2 linked regions of the Lytechinus pictus genome follow. The protein of the gene in region 2 binds, or shares a complex with, the protein of the main gene of each other region. Links are inferred from orthologs where the notes say so. Each region holds a gene or a part of one and is shown on either strand. Other genes may lie near its edges.

Region 1 (13,334 bases), on a different chromosome or scaffold from region 2:
ATAAACTTTTATACAATGTCTGAAGCTGCTTGCTGCAGAACAGAATGTACACACAAATAATATACATGCACTAACCCTTACATTTTCAAGGAGCTTTTATTGTGTATCTAATAACCGTTTTAAGAATGACTTCTTCAATTAACAGAGCTTAAATTCATCCAAGGTCAAGGCCTTGGATGTGGTATTTAATGGCTTCAATGCCACTTTCGCTGTACTTTGATATTTTTTTTGCCCTTTTTATTTTCCCCATCTGTGCTGAATTATAAAAATTGGCCCTTTTGAAAGGTGACTTTGCCCTAATGATATCAAAATTTAAGGGCTGAATTAGCATTGATAGACATTACATAATAAACTAGGGAGAAAAGGGTGCTTTTCATGATTGCACATCTCTACATCCCCAAAATCAAATCACTTACAGTCGATGTAATGGACGTAAAACAAGACTCCATCATCTGTGTCCTTGCGACTTATTATCTCTCCAAGTGCTGCATATAAAAGATAGTAAAGATTAAGAAAATGAAATGAAATAATTGAAAATAATCCTAATAGTAGTCTCCTTCTGTTATACATGTACATAGAAAAATACTTTATTGTCAAAACATAATGGAAAAAAGATTAAAGAGCTTGCTTTACAGACATACATGTAAGTAACTGCATGTAAAAAAATGTCTTGCTCTTCCTAAACAATTTATTCCAGTGCTTTTGCAATAAATCAGATTTTGATAATCATTTTGTCAAAACATGCCAAGTGATTAGTATCATTTTTTTTACAGGTTCAAATCCTGTCTAAAGCTTTGGCAAAGGGTCAGTAATGTGAATTAGAGTCAATTATCATATAATCTTCCAACATTACAAAAGCAGATCTCGTCATTTAATCTGTTTTCAGCTCTAAGAATTTAAATTCAGAATGTTTTCTTAAGTAGGTATGTGACTATCGCGCGATGTGATCTCAATATTACGGCACCGGCACCGGTTTCAAAACGAGCTTGGGTTGCTCTGTAAGGGGTGGCTTTAAATGGGTGTAGATTTGGCGATTTCTAGCCAATTTGGCCTATTTTCACTGATGACGTAGCTGAAAAAAATCCCCTTCGCCTCGATGTCAAATTTTGAAGATCGGACGCATGGAAGTTGGATTTGGCTCATGTGAAAGTCTAATGTTGTCTTCACCATCGTGACCGGCCCTGAAGGTAAGTTTTGACAGTTTTTAAACCTATTTTAACAGCTTGTTCATATATTTTTCTTGGTGTGTGGTGAATATAAATCGAATCTAAAAATCCGATCATTTATTTTTTACATCCTAAAAATTGATTGTCAGAAATAGCAAACTGCCACGAGAGTTGCGTGCTACACGAGCATCATGATGAGTGCTGTGTCGCCGGGAGCCGTGGCATGGGTGCACCAGCTCAGAGGGGTTATGCTAGCAGTTTGTGCATCGCATTGATTGAATTATTATTTGCTTTTGTGATCTAGAGTCTACTTGTTTATATTTATATTATTAGTTATTACATCCTTTGATGAATATGAATATACACATTACACAATTTTAGCTTGTTTTCAGTATTTTGTTGTAAGATAAATTGGATAATTGGGATGTCATTTATCATTTATTTAGGCAAACTTAGCCTGAGGTCACCCAAGAAAAAAAAAAAAATAATAACATAATTCTAGGTCCTGCATTGAATCATGTGCTCATACACAGTTTAATTATAGATTATAAAAGATATTATGTTTGTTACTGATATATATAAGAGTAGAAACTGACATCAAAATTTTGTTCAATAAAAACATCTGTTAAAGCGACCAAAAACTGGCAAACACTGGTTGACGCCATCTTTTCCCATTTACTCATATACACTGTTTTAGCCCACACGGGGTGCGTCGGACTAGCGCACGGGCGTGTGTCGAAAAATGTTACGTACGAGTGAATGGAGGAAGACGTAGATGGCGTCAACCAATGTTCGCCAGTTTCTGGTTGCTTTAATTATAGGCCCAGATTTTTTTTTTTTTTGCAGCAGTGAGATTTGAATTTCATTCTGAAAGTTTTATTTAGAAGATGTGTTGTTGCAGAAGTTCCTGTAAAAAAATCCAAACAATAAGGAAATTATATAAGTTTGTATGTGTTCGGTAATGAGTTTATGAACAATTTATATATCAATTTACTAATTGATAATTAATAATTACATTGATCTATTATTAAGACAAATATTGATATCCTTTCTCATCACCTGTTTTTTACTCAGTTTTATACTTAGAGTAAAATGAATAATTTGTATAATAAAAAAATAAAAAAAAATTTGGGTCACGGTCGGTCACACATTTTGAATGGTCGCAATGGTAAGACAATGTCAGACTCAATGGCAAAGCCAAGCTTTGCCAAACCCAAAGGCAATAATAGGCACTTCAGGTGAAAATTAGAAAAGGCTATTCCAGCATATTTTATAGGCTCACAATGAGGCTCAATATCTATGATTCACAAAACTGTTTGAATTTTCAAATTCCGATATCTAGAAGTCAAGTTATTGTCATCTTTGTGATGAAAAAACAGGGCTTTTTGTGGACAAAAGAAGATTGCGAAATCTTATTATTCTCTTTGTTTTGGGCATGGCACATTTATAATACATAGCTTATGGGGAATTGTACAAGCTTTTTATTTAAATCTTAAAGTACTCAGATTGATTTGACATACATGTATTGGCATATGATTTCTTTGGTTCAAGGGCAACTACCCCTGGACGATAACCCCCACCCCCGGACAATTCCCCTCCCCCACCCTGGACAATTACCCCCCCCCCGGACAACTACACTGTAGTCTGTACCCCTATCCAAAAATCTACACCTAACCTAATCCTATTTCGGGGGTAATTGCCCTGTGGTAGGTTTGTGCACAGGGTAAACATGACTTGATATTGATTTTCTTTGCTTGAACATTAAAAATTAAGTTTTCAATGAATATTATTTGTAATCAAAGAAAGAGAATTAAAGTAATAATCTTAGGATTTCTATCAAAAAATAAAAACAGATTGATTTCAATTGTCTATTATCTCATTATTGTCTTGTTATTGTGGTCTCAATAAAATTGTTGATATTATTGTCTTTTCATCGTTTCATTATTGTCCCAATTATTATTATAATTATAATAATTATTATTATCATGATAATTATTTTTGTTTCATTAATATTATTTTCTAAATAATGATTACAATTATAATTACTATCATTATAGTAATATTTGATCATTAGAGTAATTATTGTTATAATTATTTCATAATAATAATCATTATTGAAATAATAATTATTATTGTCTCAATAATTATAAGGCCTTAAATTATAATTATGATTATTTTTATAATTACAATTATAATAATTTTTATAATAATAATCATTATTGATGACTTATCAATATTACTGTCTCAGTAATTATTACAAGTACAATTACTTTCATTATAATTGTTATCATTATAATTATTTTATGATAATTATTATTATTGTAATAATAGTTATTATTGTCTCAATAATTATAAGGCCTTTAATTAGAATTTTGATTATTTTTATAATCATAATATTTTTATAATAATAATTATTGATGACCTTTCAATATTACTGTCTCAGTAATTATTACAATTATAATTACTTTCATTATAATTGTTATCATTATAATCATTTTATAATAATTATAATTATTGTAATAATAGTTATTATTGTCTCAATAATTATAATTACTATAATCATAATTATTTCTACAATTATATTTATTTTAATTATAAATAAGTATTACTATTATAATGATTATTATTGATATCTCATTAATATTATTGTCTCAGTAATTATTACAATTCAAATTACATCATTATAATTGTTATCATTACAATTATTTTATTATAATAATGATTACTGTAATAATTATTATTGTCAATAAATACTAGAATTGATGTCTCATTAACATTGTCTCAATTATTACAATTATAATTATTATCATTATGATTATAATTGTTATCATTATAATCATAATAATTATTATTGTAATAATAATTATTATAATTGTCTCAATAAATTATTGTCTCATAATGTCTCATCATCTCTGTTGCCTCATTATTGTCTTCTCTTATTTTTTCATAATATCTTCAAAATAATATTTAACACCATAACAAAGGTCCATAAATCAGATATCAAATTCATGAAACTCATCTCATGTATCTAAACCTATTTCTAAATTAAATTCATGAAAGGAGCTTTCTGTGCCATTCAAAAATACGACTTTCATTAACAATACCATATTCTAGACATTCAGACGCATTGCAACAAAAAAATCACTTATCAAACAAAATTCTTGAAGTTTACTTGCAGTTTTGCTCTTAATACTTATTTCACACGAATTCTACAAAATTATTTTCAAAATAACAATTTGATTTTCATAATTAACAGAGCTCAAATCGTAATTAAAAAAAATATACAACGGCTGAAACATACCGTGTCTGAATACCAAGACTAATCTCAGGCCCAACGCAGTGGGGATGACGTCACTTACAGCTGTTCGTATACGCTCAAAACAACCCTGCTCGATCGGCCGAGTCAGATTCACAAACACCTCATGACACTCAAAACTGAAGCTCATATCCGCAGGCTCTCTACGGACCAAATTTAATTAGAATTTAACAAAATGTTCTCAAATATACAATTTTATTACTGACCGAGTTTACAAGAGATCCGATGATTACAAGAAGGTGATTTCAAGCAAAGAAAAATAAATACCTGAATATTAGGTCCTTCCCTCGCATGAAGGTAAGTGATACTCCATCTTATATATTTCCGATGTTTACCGAAGATGTACAAAGCAACCGCGGGAATTTTTGACCAATCACAATCAGCGGAATAAAGGAAGAAACTGACTCTGTCTTTTCGAGCAATGCCGAATGCAACTCCAGCGCTCGGCCAAAGTGTCGAGCGGAGCGAACTGTGTGTGTTAGATATGCGCTCGCCATTCACTGCAATGCAAAAATCTACGTCTAGCGCTGTGTCCGCGCAATCGCCCGCCTGGCTGAAGTGTCTAGGCCTAGCAATAATTAAATCAGATTTTTAATATTTAAAAAATCATAACTCTCTTAATATTTGGCCTAGAGTAATGGTTAATAATACCATTTTAAATGTTTTTTTCAGCCCTTTCCAATGAGCTAGGTTACAATGTAATTCCATGATTTTTATTTTTTTTGTCACATATATGGCAGTATGTCCAAACTTCGCGCGTGTCCATACTTCGCGGACGGTCATTATTTAAAAAACTAGCCAATATCCTTAAAATCTGACATCATCAACGTGAAAAGCGACCTAAAAGTACCCTATAGTGAAAATTTCTTTAGGATGAGTTCAGTATTCATGAAAATATTGGCAAAAGATCGGCAAATTTGCCACCGCTAGCGCCCGTTTTGAAGAAATCAACAAGCATCACGATATCACCATTTTGCAAGCAGAAATCATAAAAAATGTGAGTTAAATGTGGTACTAACCGATTCCATAGCATTTTGCCATCAATCTGATATAAATATTTCACTTTTTTAGCTTGATTTTTTGTTTAAATCTCCACAAAAGCTTTGGTGCGCGAAGTTAGGTCACACTTTTTCTGAACGGTTTTCCAGCACAGCCCGCATTCGCCGATCGGAATAGAATTTTGAGATCGCGATACCGGCGAAACCCCTTGACTAGACAGGAATAACCGTCGTTTCTGGGGATTTATTCAACAATTTCTGACATTTTACTGTAATCCCCATTTACCGACGGTAGGGTGTACGTGTGGGCTCGCATGTGTTCTCATTCCCTCCCTTTTGTCAATTCACAGTCCAAAGTTTGATGTAATTTTACACATCGAATTTACAATCTAAGGATGTATAAACAACAAACTTGTAAAATTTAATATTTTAATATTTAAATACTTTAAACGATATAGATGAAAAAGGCATGAAAAATATACTTTACCGATGTTTAATTGGGTTGAACACGATAAAAATGGTCAAAATGGCAGCCAAACTATAAAATATTTACAAACGAACGTCAACAATCACGAATGTGATATCGATATTGCTTTCGATATTATACGATCTGCTCCATATGCGATCGAAACCGAAGATAAACGATACTAGTTATACTAGTACTAGTACTAGTTATAATCGCGATATATCGATTCGAGACATTAAGTTTATAACGATAATGACGTCATTCAAGATGGCAACTTGCAAGAAAAACCGTCAGGTCAGGTGAAAATGTCTTAGATGACAGATTTCTCAATCATCCAGAGGATTTTTTTCAATAACTCCGGCCCAAGGTATGCAATTACTAAATTTATTCATATTTCCCTGATAATGGAAACCATGATGAAACTTTCAATTTTGCTTAAAAAACAGTTTTAAATCGCGATCTATAAAACGCTAGTTCACTATACGTTGGCTGTAGGTACGGGGCCCCATCCCCTTCAGTCTATGTATGGTGAGTGGAGCCAACGTAGTTCAGCGGAACAACCAAAATACAGAGACTGAAGCTTTTGGTCTACCCCTTGACCTACTTTACATTTTCGTCCATGATTTTATAGTTTACGATCTTGCCGTCAATGTGGTAACTATTTCTTGAATTGGTTTTGTATAAATTATGAATATTTTGTGAACAAAAATAAGCCTGATGAATATTTTTGAAAAGTGCGCGAAGTTTGGACACCCCATCATACCTATCTTAAAGACTTAGCATGTTATTGTTAAGGCTTAAGCATCCTCTTTTTTGGCAAATTGGCAATGTTTTTATTTTTATTTAAAATGCTCTTTTAGCACTTACATGTACATGCACTTTACATATTTAGTTGGATATTACAAAGATTTTGAAAAATATTATGTCCTTAAATCCTTGGTCCATTTCATGGTTGAGAAGGGACGTGACTTTATAAACAAGACATAGGGCCTAGGTAAATAAATACAAAGAAATTTCACCAATATAGCAAACGCAAAAGTCAACACATGGGACCAAAATGAAATAAATCCAAAGAGAACTTACGCCACTCATCCGTTTGCTTCATTCTTACAGGCATGCGGCATCCTTCAACCACCAGATCTTCCTGAAAAGAAAATTAGAGTTGCGATTATAAGTTCAAATAAATAGGGCACAATAAAAATTTAAAAGAATTAATAAAAACGAGCAAAACTCACAGTTTTTATCGATGAATCATTATTTTCCGCCATTTTGTTTGTGTGTTTTCTCTCAAAATTACTCCACTGCCGACGGCTTGTCCAAAAAAATTTTCTTGTCCAACTCCAAGAAAGAAGCACAGATAAAGTAAAATGAGTGCAGGAGAAAAGAAGGAATCACCAGATGCTATGAATCTAGAGGAGAGGTATGAGCCGTATCATATATGCATTTTAGATCGATTTTTTTTTCTAATTTTGCATTATATGTTTAAATTTTTGTTTTTTTCTAGCCAAAAAGGTCGTGCTTCACTTCAGTCCCACCTGATGTCTGTTTTGTTTGCTCTGGTTTTGGAAGTTTGTAGTTGTAATATAGTCACGTATTGTATTAATACCGGACACTATTATGATTCCGGACGCGCATATTACTGCGTTCTAAAACAAATTCGTACCGTAAAACTTCCGCAATTCAATTTCACAGAGCAATACATAGAACAAGATTGCAAAAACAAGGCGAAAAATCCAACTTTTACCTAATTATCTCTCAAAATGACAGAAAATGCTTAAAAGTTAAAATATCATATTATAACATAGTTTTGTATTAACAATTGATGTATTTTCTAACGGAAATATGGGCCTGATTTGCCGAATTTCAATCTCGTCCACTCCTTCGATCGAATGATGAGGTGTGGTGTATTGTGGGTGATCGTCGATGGCTAGTTCTCAAGGTACCCGTGCGCGAGGTTTACCGTGAGTAGAGCCGTCGATCGGCAGCGCATCGATAGAACTTGATGAGCGTCACGATATGATACGAACGCGAGCATATTATTATTGGAAAGTGCCATGGAACATGCAGCTAACAAGACAAAATAAAATAAGTTATCAAACACGAATTTATTACCAACATCTGCTCAGATTCGATATAAAAAAGCAAATAATACTTAGAATTTACTCATGATATGATATAAGAAGAAAAAAATCACACAAATTTGCTCTTACATCATTATAATCAAGGATATCTTTACCCGTCCGGCGCGCGTCCGGAATCATGATGTAATTTGTCGCGCACGAAAATAATTGTTTTTCATGGAGGGGTATGCGGCAACTGCGATGCAAAGAAAATGGTTGGTAAATATAATTATAAAATAATTTTATCATATTCATAATTTTCATAATATTTGGAATAGCAAGTGTGATTTTTTCTTGATTGTATTTCCTCTAGTTGTCATTTTTAAAGCACTGAAATAAAGGTGTCCGGCAATAGGATACACTGCCATACAGCTAGTATTGCTATTTTCAATTTCACATTCATATAAAAATTAAAACATATTGGCCCGTATTCTGAAGTCGGGTTTAACTTAAACTCAGGTTTTAAGTTGTGGTTTAAGTATGGTAAGCCAATGGTTACATAAATCACTATTAACAGTAGAGATATCATATTTCAGCTCATTTGGCTCTCAAATCATTCATAATCCTGATAATTGTCTAGGAAGTATAAAATTAAAATTGATTGTCTTCATCATCGATGAATCAGGAAAGAGCACAGTAAACATACAAAACATACAACTTAATAAACATTTTGACACTTTTGGCTTCCCATAATTTTAGCACAGAGTTAGACCGTCCATGGTCTAAGTTAAACCTGACTTCAGAATACGGGCCATTAGATTTTTGGAAAAGTACCGGTAGTCATAATGTTCTTTTGATATGAAGGAAACGGACACGAAAACTTAAACTTTTGTTGTCACTTGTTTTTTTTGTTGCTATTTATGAATTTTGCCCTTTTCTGTGTAAAAAAATGTTGGACTGGAGTCCAGTCCTGGAGGCTGGACCTGGAATCTGGATTGTGAAAGTTGCATTGCAGTTGCAATGAAATTATCTAAATTATAAGACCACTTCTAGTACCAATGAGGTCAAAAGTGACTCAAAACGTAACCTATTGACCTCATAGTCAACAATCGTACATATATGGGGAGGTGCACTTGTAGAAAGTCGCCTCCCGTGGCAGTACACAAATGCATGACGACTAGTTTTTTTTTTCGTTTAGATATGAACTTCCTTGAGTGAAATTATTATTGTTTATTGCAATTTAGATATTACAAATTATATCTAAGGTAAAACTTTTTATTAAATATCTGTGGATTTTGTACAATGGTACTTGAAAGTCTTACTACGCTGGCAGCTTTTTTCAACCTTTTTTTAGGTCCCAAAGACTCCCACTCACTGCCTCCTACTAGTCCTAGAGTGTATAAGACTAGAATAAAATACAGTCAGTGTCACTTAATCTCTCTCTTTTAGTCCAGGCAGATAATTTGGCATTATTTGATTTGAAGGCTTATTTATTTTGCTGTCAATACCTGACATAGTCACTTTTTTATAAATGTGAATTTGAAACAGTTGATTTTCCATTATTTTGAATTTACATTGTATCTCAAGACATTATGGTCTATCTCATCAACAGTAACCAATTAATTTGAACTTTTGTAATCTGTTTTCTTGTTCAAATTACAGAATCCTGGAACTATGTAAAGGAGAATCAGATGGTATTCGAGATTCGGCTATTCAGAAGCAACTTCCAAACATTGATGCTCAACAGAGAGTATCGGCTGTCAACAGACTTCTTTCATCAGTGAGTTTCTTTTTTCACCCCCCCTCCCCCGCGAAGGTGGTTGTCAGAGGCATTCATTATATTTTGGAGTCATTGTGTTGCTAATCTGAGAATATATTCTCAGTTAAGCAACACAATGACTCCAAAAGGTATACCTTCAAAGGTATACCTTCAAAATAAATATGAAAAACATAATTTTGATTCAGTAATTCCTATTTGTTTACAATTCAGAGCATATTTGATGAAGAAATCTAATTTGCATCCTTTTCTTTTATCTAGGGTAAAATAGACTTGGTGAAGACAAGCACTGAATTGCTGTACCGTTTGAAGGATCCTGGTGTTGTAAGGTAATTTCCATTCATTATTCCTTGAAATGAATGAACTTAAGTGTCACTATTTGACTTGGACCAATGCTGTCATTTCCTGGTAATTCGTATAAGGGTTTCATGTGATAAATGAAATATTTGGTCGATGCAGAAAAGACTGGTTTATTGTAACTTGTTATTAATGGGAGGGGGGGGGGGGGTGAATACTTAGCCAGGATTCAAATCTGCATTGAAAATGTATCTTATCATTTGATAAATGAAGATGTATACAACGTGATAGCTGTCATCATCATTTTATTATATGAGAACTATTATTTTATGTTATATGTTAAAATTTTGTTAAATGATTACTGTTGCTTATATTATTTTTGTAGTAAAATCAAAGGAGCTGATAATCAGGAACGTCTTGTATATCAGATCATCGAGCAATCAGGCAACAAGGGAATATGGACACGAGATATCCGATTAAAGAGCAATCTACAACTAACTCAACTCAACAAGATTCTGAAGAATTTAGAGAGTAGGAAACTCATCAAGGCTGTCAAGTCTGTTGGGGTAGGTGTTTATTAACCTTTTGGTATGCTAATGTTGACATTTTGCTCATGCAATCTATTGCAATGATTAGTTTTCTCCCTTATCTTTAAGCTGGATAAGCTAATAAATGTCTATAGCCCCTGGATAGCATATGTGCATTATTATTCTGTATCAGTGGTGCAGTATGGAAATCTAGATTCAAACAAAATATCACAAATATAATCAGTCATAGTAGCTGACCAGTTTTAGACGACATAAATTACTATAGGGCCTGTTAGGTCAAAGTAGAGACCATGGCCAAGCAGGTACTGGAACTCAAAACCACGCAAGTCCAATGCTCTAACCACTAGACCATGATATGATCCATATTATGGGTTGGATTATGAAAAAAATTGTACATTCCACAAATTTTCCCTTCATTTAAAATCCAGGCAGCAAGGAAAAAGGCATACATGCTCTTTAATCTGACCCCTGACCCCTCAGTGACCGGCGGAACATGGTATAGTGATCAGGAGTTCGAGTCAGAATTTGTAGAAGTCCTGAACCAACAGTGCTTCAAGTTTCTTCAACAAAAGGTTTGTTTGCTCTCCTGCAGCAATCTGTTTATTTTAGTAATTGAACTTCACTTCCAACAATGTCTTGCTTTTTTTGTGAGAGGGGAAAAAGGTAAGCCTCATACAATTTAGACTTTTGAAAAGGCTCCATCATGGACATAATTGTGTTTGTTCAGGATTACACAGCAACAACGAAAATGGCTGAGTGGCATTTCTTTTTAAAGTTTTTATTTGAATCCTGATATGCTGTAATTCATCATGATGTCATCCCTTTGAAATCCACCTTGTAAACATCCAGCAAACAAAACATTTTCAGAATGTTTAAGAAATGATTGTGGACATTCAAGCAACGTTTTCAAAATGTGTCAAGGCTTTGAAAACTGTTTGGACATTTTGAAAACTTTTTAACGATAGATTTTTTTTTTCTTCAAATCAATTCAACACATTTGATAAAAAATAATCACAAGTCAGGAGATAATTTACAATTTTGTGTTAACCACTTGACTGCTATAGGCTGTAATGCGCACTGACCCCCCTTGTGCTACTGAATGGGACTAACAAGTTGGATCTATTTGGGACGACAACCGACAGCAACTTGGGGGAAAAATTGTAAATAATCACATCACTTTCCTCATCACTATTTCCAGTATCCATACCAAAAAATCATCCTCCCCTTCTGACACAGATCTTTCACTAGATTTATTACTCCTATCGTCTAAAGTTTCGTCAAAATCCTTTCGATTCACTTCTCCACTGCGAGTCGCCATTTTGAACTGAGTGCCGTACACTATCACTATGGAAAAGTGAATACAAACATTTATAAATCACTGCAAATGTTTCGATAACTTTTGTTGAATAGCGCCATTTGATATACATGCGCTGTTTTCATCGGAGGGGTGTTAACAGTGCGGTGCTGACGCCTCAAACAGAAGATAGGTCAAGCACGTAATATTACGTGCCCCGCACAGATCGCACACTCACCCAGCACATAATATTACGTGCTACGTAGTCAAGTGGTTAAAAAGGAGGAAACTGAAGTGTAAAGAAATTATCCATTGCATAACAATACAAACAAATTCAACCACAATATATTCATATTGTAATTAATATTTTTGTTGTACAAGCTTTCATTTTATAGACTTCATTTATATACTTCAAATGAGATATTATACTTCGCTTAATTGTGATTTTCTCTCACAGGTTGAAAGTGTTTCAGCCCTACACCTTGATCCATTACTGAAAAGGAATAGATCATACGTTACACCAGAAGAGGTCTGGAAATTCATCACCGAGCTTCGGATCAGCAAGGTATAGGAGCTTGATTTTTTTCCCCCTTGTAATTGAATTGATTTCATTAGTGAATTTACTGCAGTGATAAAAGTATTGATGAAATGAATGAATTAATAAATAAGTAGTTTGCTTTATAGATTACTTTATAAACAAAATCTTATGATTCGTGGTGAAAATAGTGAAAATGGATTGAAGAAATGAAATGTCACTCAACTTTCGCTCCTTCTTTGAGAGCACTCTAGAACGAATCCGTATCTGTTTAGAATTCAGAAATATATCACAAACTAATTGCAATGCGAAATTGAGCATGAGGCTGTTGACTTGTTATTGCATAGTCGACTGCATATTCAATATTCCGTAAATAAAATAATCGCACAAGTCGAGGCAATTTTTGAAATGGATTATGCAATGCATGTGTTATGTTATCCATCTCTCCTTAGTCAGATTTTGACTGAGGCAGACTGACCTGTATGAATAGATTTAAGTGCACTGAATCTGAAACAAATGCTTCAATGCTAACTAGTTGACTATCAACACCTCCCTGGATAACAGTAGTATATTTAATGCTGAATTCTTGGCAATATCAGGCAAATGAAACTTTGATAGCCCACCATATAATGCCTGTAATGAACTCTGTATTCTCTTTCTTATCAGGTTGATTTATCGGTGGATGACATCACTACCATTCTAAACACACTCATCTATGACGGCAAGGTTGAGATGACAATCAACGCTGGACCGGGAACATCATCATCGGATTCGTCGTCAAAGCTCTATCGTGCCATACAACCTTTGACCCCACCCACAGGGCTCATGAGGTCACCATGTGGTGTCTGTCCAGTAAGTTCTTGACTCTTGTCAGTGT
Region 2 (12,382 bases):
TGAACCATATAGTATTAAACAATACTAATTCCAAATGTTCAGGGAGGAATTAATCGTTGTCTCACTTGACATTGAGGAGAAAATTAGAATATTTCATATAATGAAATACAAAAGAAATAGTGAGTGGATGACGTCATAGACTTCTCATTTGCATACCAGCCAGGATGTGCATATAACTGTTTTGTGAAATTGAGCAAAACTTTAAAATGTCATACCTTTCTTATTTTACATCCTATTTTGATGAAATTTTCAGTGTTATTCTTGTTGGATTTTTCTCTTTTTATTCAAATCAACTTTTGTTGGGCTGGACTTGTCCTTTAGATAAAAACAGAAATATGCATATATTTTAATTTGATGTAAAATCTCAAAGTTTATCCAATAAAACATTTCATTTCCTTACATACATTGTAGTAACTGCTTCAGGACATACACATTCATATTTTTCTTTTATAAATGAATTGGAATTATATGACAGTGACATGCGTTAGTGCAATTAAGTGTCATCATTAATTGTCACAGCTTTAAAAGGCTAAATACAATTTCCTCATATCGTAATATTTGTCAGATTTTTTTACAGCAGTTCAAACTGAAATATGATAATTGGTTTGATATAATTTCCAATTGTATTCTCTCTTGTGAAACCAGGGCCATTGAGCAATATTGACAATACACATGCAAAAGCCTACCTGGTTACATTGCAGGACACAATGCCTTTCCGATCCACTTCCACTATCATCCTGTTCTTTGAGAGCTGTTCTTGGATCAGGATGACCTTTTCTGTCCCTCGGACGATGAAGTAGCCCCCAGGGTCAAGAGGGCACTCGTTCAGTTTGGCCAGCTCGGCCTGAGATTTGCCGGTCAGCACGCAATTGGAGCTCCTCAGCATGATCGGCATCCTGTAAGAATAATAGATGAAATTGATTTTTAAGTTTGATTGCAATTATGTGTTTTTAGGAGGGAAAACATTCCAAGGTCAAGAGGGCACTCGTTCAGTTTGGCCAGCTCGGCCTGAGACTTGCCGGTCAGCACGCAATTGGAGCTCCTCAGCATGATCGGCATTCTGCAGGAATAATTGATTTTTAAGTTTGATTGCAATCATGTGTTTTTAAGAGGGAAAACAACCCCTGGTCAAGAGGGCACTCGTCCAGTTATGCCAGCTCGGCCTCAGACTTGCCAGTCAGCATGCAACTGGAGCTTCGCAGCATGATCGGCATTCTGTGGAAATAACAGATATAATTGATCTTTAAGTTTGATTGCAATCATGTGTTTTTAAGAGCCTGAGGGAAAACAACCCCTGGTCAAGAGGGCACTCGTCCAGTTAGGCCAGCTCAGCCTGAGACTTGCCGGTCAGCACACAATTGGAGCTTCGCAGCATGATCGGCATTCTGTGGGAATAACAGATATAATTGATTTTTAAGTTTGATTGCAATCATGTGTTTTTAGGAGGGAAAACAACCCCCGGTCAAGAGGGCACTCGTTCAGTTTGGCCGGCTTGGCCTAAAACTTGCCAGTCAGCACACAATTGGATTTTCGCAGCATGATCAGCATTCTGCAGGAATAAGAGATAAAATTAATTTTCACAACTGCAATGTTTTCAAAAGTGGAAGGGTCAAGAAGGCATTTGTTGATTTTGGCCAACTTGGCCTGAGACTTGCTAGTCAGTACGCAATCAGACCTCTAAAGCATAATCAGGAATAAGATATAAATTTGACATATTAATGATTTATTGTTGTGTTTTCCAAAATGAACAAGGGTCCAGAGGCTCATATCATAAACATTTACAATTAATTATGGCAATGTTGATTTTCATCCAATGGTGTTGAGCCCTGTTACCATGGTAATTACCAATAAAGTCAAAGCTACAACAGTAATTGTGAAATGGCCCCTGGAAAACGCCTATGGGGATTACAGAATTCTATAATCAATGTTAATAAAAAATACCTTCCGATCGGCAAGTTATTTCTGATAACCCTCTGCTGCCCTCGTGTGTACTCTATGTCGACAGTGATGGGGGCGGAGTAAGTCATGTCACGTAGACGACACTCATGCGGAGAGGTTGGCTTGGTGATGTTGAAACTCTCCTCGACGTCCGGGCTACCAACGTAAATGTTTAAGTACCTGTGGATGAAAGAAAAAAAAGACCTTGGAGAATGGTGTAGGGATAATGCACATTACCAGGGGAATTTGTAAGAACTGTATGCGTGAGATTTTGGCCCCGTCTTACAAAAAGTTACGATTGATCCAATCAATCGTAACTCTATGGAAATCCATCAGTGTCATAATTTTTTCAACAGAAAATTTACAAAAGTTGTAAACAAAGGAGAACACACCATATTGTCAAGAAGTCAATGAATCTATGAATATACATCATATCTAGCAAAAATTTTTGAACATGCATTTTACATATTTACTTAACTGGCTTTCCATACTTGCGAATGATCAGATCAATCGCAACTCTTTGTAAGACGGGCACGGGGGCTACTAAAAGATCTCATGATGAAAGTAAACAATCAAGTATATATTCTACGTACTAAGAATATTGCTAGCTGATAAATCAAAAGTCAATCATATGATAAACTGCTCACTGGTTGTGATGATAATGACTATGATAATTGTATGTCTTTATGACATAGTACTCACTTCATGTAGAAAGTTTGGTCAGCATCACTGGTAATCTTCTCATTTGCTTTCATTATCTTCTTGATCTGTAAATGTAATAAACAAATAATAAGTCTTAGATTTATTTTTGGTTCCCCCCCCCCCATTCTCATTCGGTTAAGGTTTAGTTAGGTGTTTTTTTTTTTTGTTTTTTTTTCTCATTGAATTTGTGATTATATGATGTTTTTAAGATTTCTTTAAGTACAATTGTTGTTATGGGTTGGTCTCACACAAGGTTTCATCCTTTTTGGTCATTACCTTCCTCACTTTCTTTAAAGTTGATGTTCATTGTACTTACATTGTCTATTTTTTATGTATTTTTATCTTGATCTCTTGAGGAGAAATAAATGAAACTTGAAAAAAAAACTTGAAACTTGAAAATAGTATAATACTAAATGAATAATGAATATGAATGAATAAATGAATAATTGAATAAATAAACAAATAAATGAAAAATAAATAAATAGATAAACAAACATATAAATAAATAAAGTAAATGTGAATGAGAATAAATGAATAAATAAACACAAATATAAATGAATAAATAAAACAAGAATAGAGGCCTACATGGGGATATGATAATCTCACCTTGCTCATAAAAAAATGCAAACTTTAAAGGAGAATGAAACCTTTGGAACAAGATAGCTTGTGTGAAAACAGAAAAATCAAAGAAACGGATCAACGAAAGTTTGAGAAAAATCAGACAAATAATGAGAAAGTTATGAGCTTTTGAATATTGCGATCACTAATGCTATGGAGATCCTCACATTGGCAATGCGACAAAGATGTGTGATGTCACTCTTGAACATCTCTCCCCATTACTTTAGTATATATTTCACTTAAATTGCCTCTTTTATTACATCTATCAGTAGAACATTTATTCTTTCTGTAGGTGGGCATGTAAAACAGATTTTTAAAGAATACATCATGGATAAAGAGTTTGTATAACCATACGAAAAAGCAAAAAGACACATTTTCAGGGTATTTCATAGTCCATCAAAGGGAAAGTTGTTCATGTGTGACATCACACTTCCTTGTAGCATTAGAGATTGTAATATTCAAATGCTCATAACTTTCTTATTATTTGTCCGATTTTTCTCAAACTTTCTTTGTTCGTATTCTTTGATTTTTCTGTTTCGACACAAGCCTACTTGTTAAAAGTTTCATAAACTTCTTAATCCTTGTCCAAATTGGATGATATTTTCAGGACTTTTATATCTGATTTTACCTTATCTGTTGAAATCATTTCTTTTATTCAGTTTAGAGTAGCCCTTCAGAGCTGCCAACCTGAACAAGAACATTACAGTATTTTGTATAGCTGAAAATCAGTATTTTGGGTTATTTGAAAGAAATATATACCAGTCTACAGGAAGAACCATAAAACTGAAACTTTAGAAATCAGTGTTTTGCATGAAATCACCAGTATTCTTCTCATTTTTCAGTACGAAATACTGAAGACCAGTACTACTTGGCAGCTCTGTTTCCTTTAAAGGTCAGGTCCACCCCCAAAAATGTTGATATGAATTAATTGAGAAAAATTAACTCCCATAACGCTGAAAATTTCATCAAAAGCGGATGTAAAATAGAAAATTATGACATTTGAAACTTTTGTTTATTTTTTCACAGAACAGTGATATGCACAATTCAGTGACCTGCAAATGAAACAGTTGATGATGTCCCTCACTCACAATTTTTGCTTTTATTGTTTGAATTATATATTTCATTTTTTACAGATTTGACAATTAGGACCAACTTGACTGAACCATATAGTAATAATCAATGCTAATTCCACCTGCTCAGTGAGGAATTAACTGTTGTTTCACCTAACAATGAGGAGAAAATTATAATATTTAATTTTTCATGTAATAAAATACAAAAAAAATAGTAATGGATGACGTCATCAGTCCCTCATTTGCATACTGACCAGGATGTGCATATAATTATTTCGTGAAATTAAGCAAAAGTTTAAAATGTCATAACTTTCTCATTTTACATCCGATTTTGATGAAATTTTTAGTATTGTGCTTGTTGAATTTTTTCCTTTTTATTCAAATCAACTTTTTTTGGTTGCTTTAAACTTGTCCTTTAAATTGGCTCAAGAGCCAGATAAAGCCTCCCACCCCCCCCAGAAAAAAATTGCCTATACCTCGATATTCGTTAAGCCGAAAACGTAAAAGGGTTCATTAATCCGAACATTTGTGGCGTTATTCCGAAGGTTCGATAATCCGAAAACGAAATAAGGTTCGATGTTCCGAAGATTCATTAATCCGAAAACGAAATATGGTTCGTTGTTCCGAAGGTTCGTTAATCTAAAAACGAAATAAGGTTCGTTGTTCCGAAGGTTTGTTTGTCCGAAAACGAAATAAGGTTCGTTAATCATTTCGTTTTCGGACTAACGAACCTTCGGAATTACGAACCTCATTTCGTTTTCGGAATAACGAACCTTCGGAATTACAAACCTCACTTCGTTTTCGGACTAACAAACCTTCGGAATTACGAACCTTATTTCGTTTTCGGCCTAACGAACCTTCAGAATTACGAACCTTCGGAAATACGAACCTTTGGAGTAACGAACCTTTGGAATAACAAAGCTTCAGAATTACGAATGTATGCGTTCAAATACTTACCTCCACATTAATGAAGTAGTTGAACGAGTCAATATGCTGGCGGACCAACCCTCTCACCTTCAGGAAGGCCGGAAGAAGCTTCCATTTATCCTTTGAAAAAAAAAATTAAAGATACAATGAAACATCATCAGAGTGTCTGGTAAATGGTCACTAACGTTTTATGCTACAGAGGCCAGGGGAGTGTTTCATTAATATTTTCATCCGACATGTTGTCAGAACTTTTCTTGATTTTGATTGGCTGAGAAGCACTGTCACTGTGATAACTGTCGGATAAAACGTCCGACATGGTCTTTCATAAAACGCTCACCTGGTGGGTTTTTCGTAAAAAATTGTGAATGACTTTATGCATGACTTGTGACCCTTTCTTGTGCTTACTGATATAACCCAAGTAGGGGCAGCGGAATGGTTTGAAACTGGGGGTGGGGGTGCTATGTCAAAAGTTGTGGTAAAACCAGATGGTAACTTTCACTATTTTGTACAAAGTTTATTTTTAAGTGGGGGAGGGGGAGGGATAAAGCCCAACTAGCCTCCACCCCCACCCCCAGTTGCGCGGGCCACTGCCTATGTACATAGCTGACTTGAGACTGGAACCTCAAAAAAACAAAAAGTTCTCTCCTTCTACCCCAGTCTCGATGGCCGATCGAGACTGGGGTAGAAGGAGAGAACTTTTCTGTTTTTTGAGGTTCCAGTCTGTGCCTCGATGTCAGGATTCTACCACTCGATAGACTAGACCTTCATCCATTATATTATAATCGTGGTAAGTGCATAATTTCTGTTTTCACAATTTATCTTGCTAGATATTTTGACCATAATCTACCCTTGTCCCGTGAGTATGGGTAAATACACGGTGAGCTCCTGGGTTAAAATGAATACTGACTAAAATTAAAACTGAGCTGTGTCAAAAAACCAATCATTAGGGTGTCTGGAGAAAAATATTATTTTTCTTATTTCAAGAAAATATCACATTTTCTTTGTGAATTTGAAGAGAAATGACCTTCAGCCTGACAGAAATGTAACATTTTTGAAAAAAATCTGATTATTGGCTACAAAAAAGAAGAATGAAATTAGGTCAATTTTCAGCATTTCTCTGCCATAGACTCGGTGGTCACCCTCCTGGGCTTCAACCCTGCAATGACCAAGCAAATGCAATCTATAATTAGAGCATCGGTGGTAGCATTTGTCTCATCCACCAGCGCTAACATCTAGCCAAACTAGCCAACAAAACAATTACCTAGCAGTTTTTCTACCTTTGAGTTCTCAACACTAAGTGTCTACCGAGGAGACTACTAGGGCGTGAAACAGGCCCAAAACGAACAACAACAACAACAACAAATGCCATAGACTGTGTAGTTAAGAAATGGACACACACAAATCCAAATTTTTAGCTTCCGAGAGCTGTTATAAATTTATTATTAATGCCAAAAACTTGTCCATAAAGAGTCCAATAGGATTTTTTATGCTCTTTCTGATGGTATGATTTTTATAAAGATTTGGAAACCAGATCACATTGAAAAATTGCGACAAAGTGAAAAAATTGTGCAAAACAGAAATTTCATTTTCCCATAGAAAACGCATGGGGAAATGGCAATCTCAACACACACAAAAATAAATAAGGGTTTGCAATTTATTTCAAAATCCGTAATTCAAATGATCATATAAACTTGTCCTTCCTGTCAAAAGAAGCCCCTGAATTTTCTCTTTCCATACATGCCAAACACAAGTTAATCATCAATTCAGATCACATGCCCACGTTTTTCTAGTAGCCTGAACTTCCCGAAAAAAATGTGCCACATTTTCCCCTAAATCAGCCTGTCTTATGCTGACACTTTTCAGTGTGGCATCAGACACCCTACAAACACTCTAGGCGACACCCCAATACTTACCCGTGCTAATAAACTGGGACTCCACTCACGTGCATTTGGGCCGCCCTAGCTTAGAACTAAGCAATATTATCGAGAAATTGTTACATTGTAGTCATGAAATATGTTCTATTAAATAAATTGATAATGTTTAATCGGTACTCACTGGTTCTTTTGTTGCATTTTCAGACCATTTCTCACAATTCTTCGTAAATATCTGCGGCAAATTTTGTCGCCATAGACAGCTTAACATCCATCTTTATTGATAAATGGAGCGCCCTTTACGATAGTTGTTAATGCCGCGGAGAAATCGTTAGGCATTTTGGCCTGTGTTCAAGGCGTAGCTGTTCTATTTTTTTTTTATAGGTATGAGATCGAAATCACAGCGAGTATTTACACTCTTCCATAATGATTCCGAAAGGGAGGCGCAACACCCCCCACCCACAGGGGCGCAAATTCCAGGGGAACATGTCCCCCTCACCTAGAATAGTAGGGGGACACATTATGAAATGTCATCCCCCTACTATTTTGGGTCTTATCATTCAAAATCGAAATAAAATATGTATTTTGGAAGAGACAATCTTACTTTTGGGGTGCCCTTTTTTTTTGCTTGTTTGCTTATCAAATTTCTTTTGGTCAAGATGACCTTCTTTTTGGGGTGATAAACCTTCTTTTTTGTTTTTGTTTGTTTGTTTTTTTCTTGTCAAATTTTCCAGCCCCTGGTCCCGGCTACCTTTAGGGAGAGATTTCCGCCCTTGCCTAACAGTACACTTGATATTGTTTGCGAATCTGCGTGGGCGTCGGGGGCTGGGGGATGAGGAAAAGCGGTGAGACGAGAAAAAAAAATAGAAGGAAAAAGAGGACAGAAAAAAAGTGAACGAAAGAAAAATTAATGGAAAATAAAAGGGAGGAGAAAATAGTGAGAAAAGTGATGGGTAGGTCGAGATTTTATGTGTCCGTGCAAAAAGAAATGAGCAGAGGTTGAGATGTTGTCTGTTTGGGCAAATGTCTGTCTGTTTGTTGGACTGGCGCCTGTTGCAAAAATTATTAAGCTGATGGAATCAGAAAGTTCCAACTGCTTCATGTCATACCGACAGTGACAGGATTAGGCGGTTGTATATATAAATCACGCTCTAAAACTGTGTTCTTTATTAAAAAGTTGTCCTTCATATTCATTTTCGCAAAAGAATATCAAGTTTTCAATTAATTGTCTATAGTTATCCTGTTTATGATAAAAATACTTAGAAATTGGGTTAGGTTAGGGTTATCAAATTATCGGGGCAGAAAATATATTTTTTCAGTTCGCGCGTCGAGCTGGCATTAGTGATCAGTGAGATTATGTTTTTAATGACATTCATTCTATTCACAGCAATATATTATTAAACATAGCCGCATGAATTATAGATAGGTCTATAGTTATCAGGTGAATAATTTACCGCTACACACTGATCATGTGGATACTGTTTTGTAAAGGGGAATTTCACCTTGATAAAAAGATTGTGAAAATATAGGCCAAATAAAAATAATTTCAAAACATCGGTGAAGGTGTTATTAAAAAAAAATGGAGTTAGTAGAATTTCGAATGCTTGATTTGTGACGTCATAAACGAGCAGTTGCTCAATATTCTATGTAATACAAAATGCAAAAATTTCCCATTTTTAATGGTCCGTAATGACCCACTTTTTTCTTTTTGGAGAGAGTATGAAGTTATCTATTGATATACTGAATGTACAATAAAAGTCATTATCACGTATTTCTTGACATTTCATTTACTTTTTACCATAATTATATCCGATATAGCTGCTCGCAAAGGCCTACGCCGTCACAAATAATTATTTAAAAAATCTCACCTTTAATTTTTTTTTGGTGGGGGATGGATTTTTCCTGAACGCATACCAATTTTTCAAATTATTTTTTCTGCTATTTTCATAATTAACTTTAAATAAATTCACCTATGCACTACTTAATTTTTTCAAAGACAAAATAACAAAATTACATCTAGTCTTCATCATCACCATCATCACCAACTTCATTCTCATCATCATCACCACTACCACCATCATTATCATCATCATCATCATCATCATCATCATCATCACCGCCACCATCACCAACCCATCATCATCACCAAGATAATTTTCATCATCATCATCTTTCTTTTTTTTTCTTTTTTTTTCCCCTTCCCTTCTTCTTTTTTTCCTTCCTATTTTCCTCCCTTTTTAGAGGGGCACACCACCAAATAAATATGTTTGTTGTTGTTGTATATAAGTTGGCGGATGCCTCATGAAATGAAATAAAAGAGAAAATAAGGAAATGGAAAAAGTAAGAAGAAGGATAAGAAGAAAAAAAGAAAGCCAAACAAACAAGACAAAATAATATCAAAATTTTGTAATAAAGTCAGTCAGTTTAATAATTATGTTTTCAATGAAATGAGACATAAAAGAATTGAAACAAGTAAAAAGGGCTACATCATAGTTAAAAGAAATAGAGGGAAGCTCCGAGACAATAAAAAGTGTAAAAAAAATCAGAAAAGACTTTGAAACACTCTGAACACGAGTATAATATAAAAAAAATTGGGAATAAGCGAGGACAAGTAGGTGAGGGACCCCCCCCCCCCCCTCTCTAGTTATTTACTCAAACTCGCATATACAAGAGAAGAAATTCTTACTAATCAAAATATTGCGAGCAAAAAGCATGAGCTGACATTTTTTTTAATATTCAAAACTGATAGAGAGACACATTTTGAACAATTCATGAAACATAATAATCATTCATTATAGTTACCAATCGGATTGTGACAAGATCTGAGAATTAGAAATTCATTAAAAGCATAAAATTGTATAACATTAAAATAAGACGGGCGCAACGCATGAGCTAAAGCTTTATATACCAATTAAAAATTTGGACATTTTTAGCGCTTTCGGTAGTCATGAAAAAGATTCATATTTCATGAAAGCTCAAATCCCGAGGAGGAATATTTTTTATTAATTGACTTAAAAAAGGCTGTTCTAATTAAGCCCCATTTAATATTTGATTACAAGTCTCGTTAAACAGTAAAAGAGGAAAAAATAAAGCATATTGTGTTCCTCAATTCTCTTTCTCTTTAACCCTATTTTTTTTTTATTTTTTATTTTTTTTTTTTTGGGGGGGGGAGGTATTTTGGTTTAAAAAAAAGAGAAAAAACGATAATTGCTGGCTAGTGGGTGTATAGTGGTAGGGACACCCCGCCCCCCCCCCCCCCCGTAGTTACGCAAACATGGGACCAAATGATCCTACTTGTTCCAAGGCGAAACTTGTGCAATCAATTAAATGTTATTTTTGAGAAAATTAAAGCTTGCGCTGTTTAAATTCAATCTCTTTTACCTAAATTTGCGATGAATGCTAGCATTATGAAATATATAATTATCAACGTCTGGCGAAAAGAATAACCAACCGATCAGCTGACGAGAACGCGTATCACGTGATCTGCATATCAGCTTCGATCGCGAGTCAGACGTGAAGAGCAACTGGCAATAAAATCTGGAAAAAGTCGTCAAAATGTAAGTTCCCCTTCATTTCTTTCAATTTTTTTTATTGCTAACAATGCTTTAACTTTCTTAAACAAAAATTTAATGAATAGACAGTACGATAGCTCGTACTTGTGTTATAATACACAAATAATCATCTTCACAAAGATTTCTGACACAAAATACTACAGATGTCGCCTATGAGGTCCATACATGTAATGTTTGGACCTCATTGGTACCACTCCTAGTACCAATGAGGTCCAACATTACATGTATGGACCTCATAGGCGACATCAGTAGTATTTTTGGTTAGAAATCTCTGAGAACAGGATATTTAGGCAATTATATCACAAGTACAAGCTATATTCCTTTCTCTTATTTAAATTATAATTTTATAGTGTAAATGCATCGTTAGCAACAACAAAAAATGAAAGAAATGAAGGGGAACTTACATTTTCACGGCTTTTTCCTGATTTTCTGGGCAGCTGCTCTTCTCTTCTGACTCGCGATCGAAGCTGATATGAAGATCACGTGATTCGCGTTCTCGTCAGCTGATCGGTTGGTTATTCTTTTCGTCAGACGTTAATAATATATATTTTATAATGCTAGCATTCATCGCTAATTTAGGTGAAAGAGATTGAAGTTAAACAGCGCCAGGTCGGAATCATAATTATTTTGGAAGAGTGTATTTATACACTCGATCTCATACCTGACGTAGACGGCGCTATTCAACAAATGCACAATCTTCAATATAAAAAATAAAACAGAAAGAACGCCTTGAACACAGGCCAAAATGCCTAACGATTTATCCGCGGCATTAACAACTATCGTAAAGGGCGCTCCATTTATCAATAAAGATGGACGCTAAGCTGTCTATGGCGACAAAATTTGCCGCAAATATTTACGAAGAATTGTGAGAAATGGTCTGAAAATGCAACAAAAGAACCGGTGAGTACCGATTAAACATTATTAAAGTTATAAATAGATTATACATACCTTGTAGATTTAGTTTTTAAGGTGATATTAGTGCTTAGTTCTAAGCTAGGGAGGCCCAAACGCGCGTGAGTGGAGTCCCAGTTTATTAGCACGGGTAAGTATTGGGGTGTCGCCTAGAGTGATTGGTACTAGGAGTGCCTACAAATACAATCATTTCCCCCCATTCCAGGCCAAATATTGCTAATCTTATTTCCCCACAGTACACAGGGAGTAGTAACACATAAACATCATTAAATGAATGGTCATGATGAGCATGAGCGTACAAGTACGACAATACTCTAAAAGAGGGATGTACTTTAAAGGTAAATTGTGACATTGGTTTATTTCAAAACTTTCTTTTAGATTTCACTCTTCGCTTTTCAAAATACTCATAAACAAGTTCTGAGTCCATAAAATGTATTGCATTGGCCAAAAGAACTGTTTTTATTCTCAAAAAAATATATAAAGAAGAGAAATTTTGCCAAGTGAGCTTTCTTTTGATGCAGATTTTGAAATTGATATAAAAAATGAAGAGCGCCACCTTGAGACCAAATGACATCAATACCTGCTCATGAATATTCATATCCATCGCCTCTGCGCTTGTCTCACGTGCCGATCTGTATACCGGCTATACAGTACAGTATCGGATTGAACGGCGGAGTCTGTTTGCGACTTTTTCATTCATATCCTGTAGGAGCGTGTGCATTCGCGCAGTCCCTCGACGGCAAATTAAATAACTTGGAAACAACCAAGGAAC

What was found.
Region 1: DNA-directed RNA polymerase III subunit RPC2-like (region 2) and DNA-directed RNA polymerase III subunit RPC6-like share a complex: the UniProt entries of both Drosophila melanogaster proteins name them as parts of the RNA polymerase III (Pol III) complex. The link is inferred for Lytechinus pictus from reciprocal best matches to the Drosophila melanogaster genes Polr3B and Polr3F.

The regions. Positions count from the first base shown.
Region 1 is NC_087251.1:35,556,732-35,570,065, reverse strand, and holds the start of DNA-directed RNA polymerase III subunit RPC6-like, read left to right. Parts: upstream 1-7,090; 5' UTR 7,091-7,181; coding exon of another isoform or gene 7,182-7,214; 5' UTR 7,215-7,313; coding exon 7,314-7,366; exon of another isoform or gene 7,367-7,501; intron 7,502-9,668; coding exon 9,669-9,786; intron 9,787-10,044; coding exon 10,045-10,112; intron 10,113-10,465; coding exon 10,466-10,646; intron 10,647-11,056; coding exon 11,057-11,200; intron 11,201-12,379; coding exon 12,380-12,487; intron 12,488-13,123; coding exon 13,124-13,309; intron 13,310-13,334. Other genes in the region: histone acetyltransferase KAT5-like, read right to left, coding at 417-485, 7,030-7,090, 7,182-7,214. UniProt on the Drosophila melanogaster protein: DNA-dependent RNA polymerase catalyzes the transcription of DNA into RNA using the four ribonucleoside triphosphates as substrates. Specific peripheric component of RNA polymerase III which synthesizes small RNAs, such as 5S rRNA and tRNAs.
Region 2 is NC_087250.1:6,007,589-6,019,970, forward strand, and holds the start of DNA-directed RNA polymerase III subunit RPC2-like, read right to left. Parts: upstream 5,372-12,382; 5' UTR 5,286-5,371; intron 2,706-5,285; 5' UTR 2,694-2,705; coding exon 2,641-2,693; intron 2,119-2,640; coding exon 1,942-2,118; intron 897-1,941; coding exon 687-896; intron 1-686. UniProt on the Drosophila melanogaster protein: DNA-dependent RNA polymerase catalyzes the transcription of DNA into RNA using the four ribonucleoside triphosphates as substrates. Second largest core component of RNA polymerase III which synthesizes small RNAs, such as 5S rRNA and tRNAs.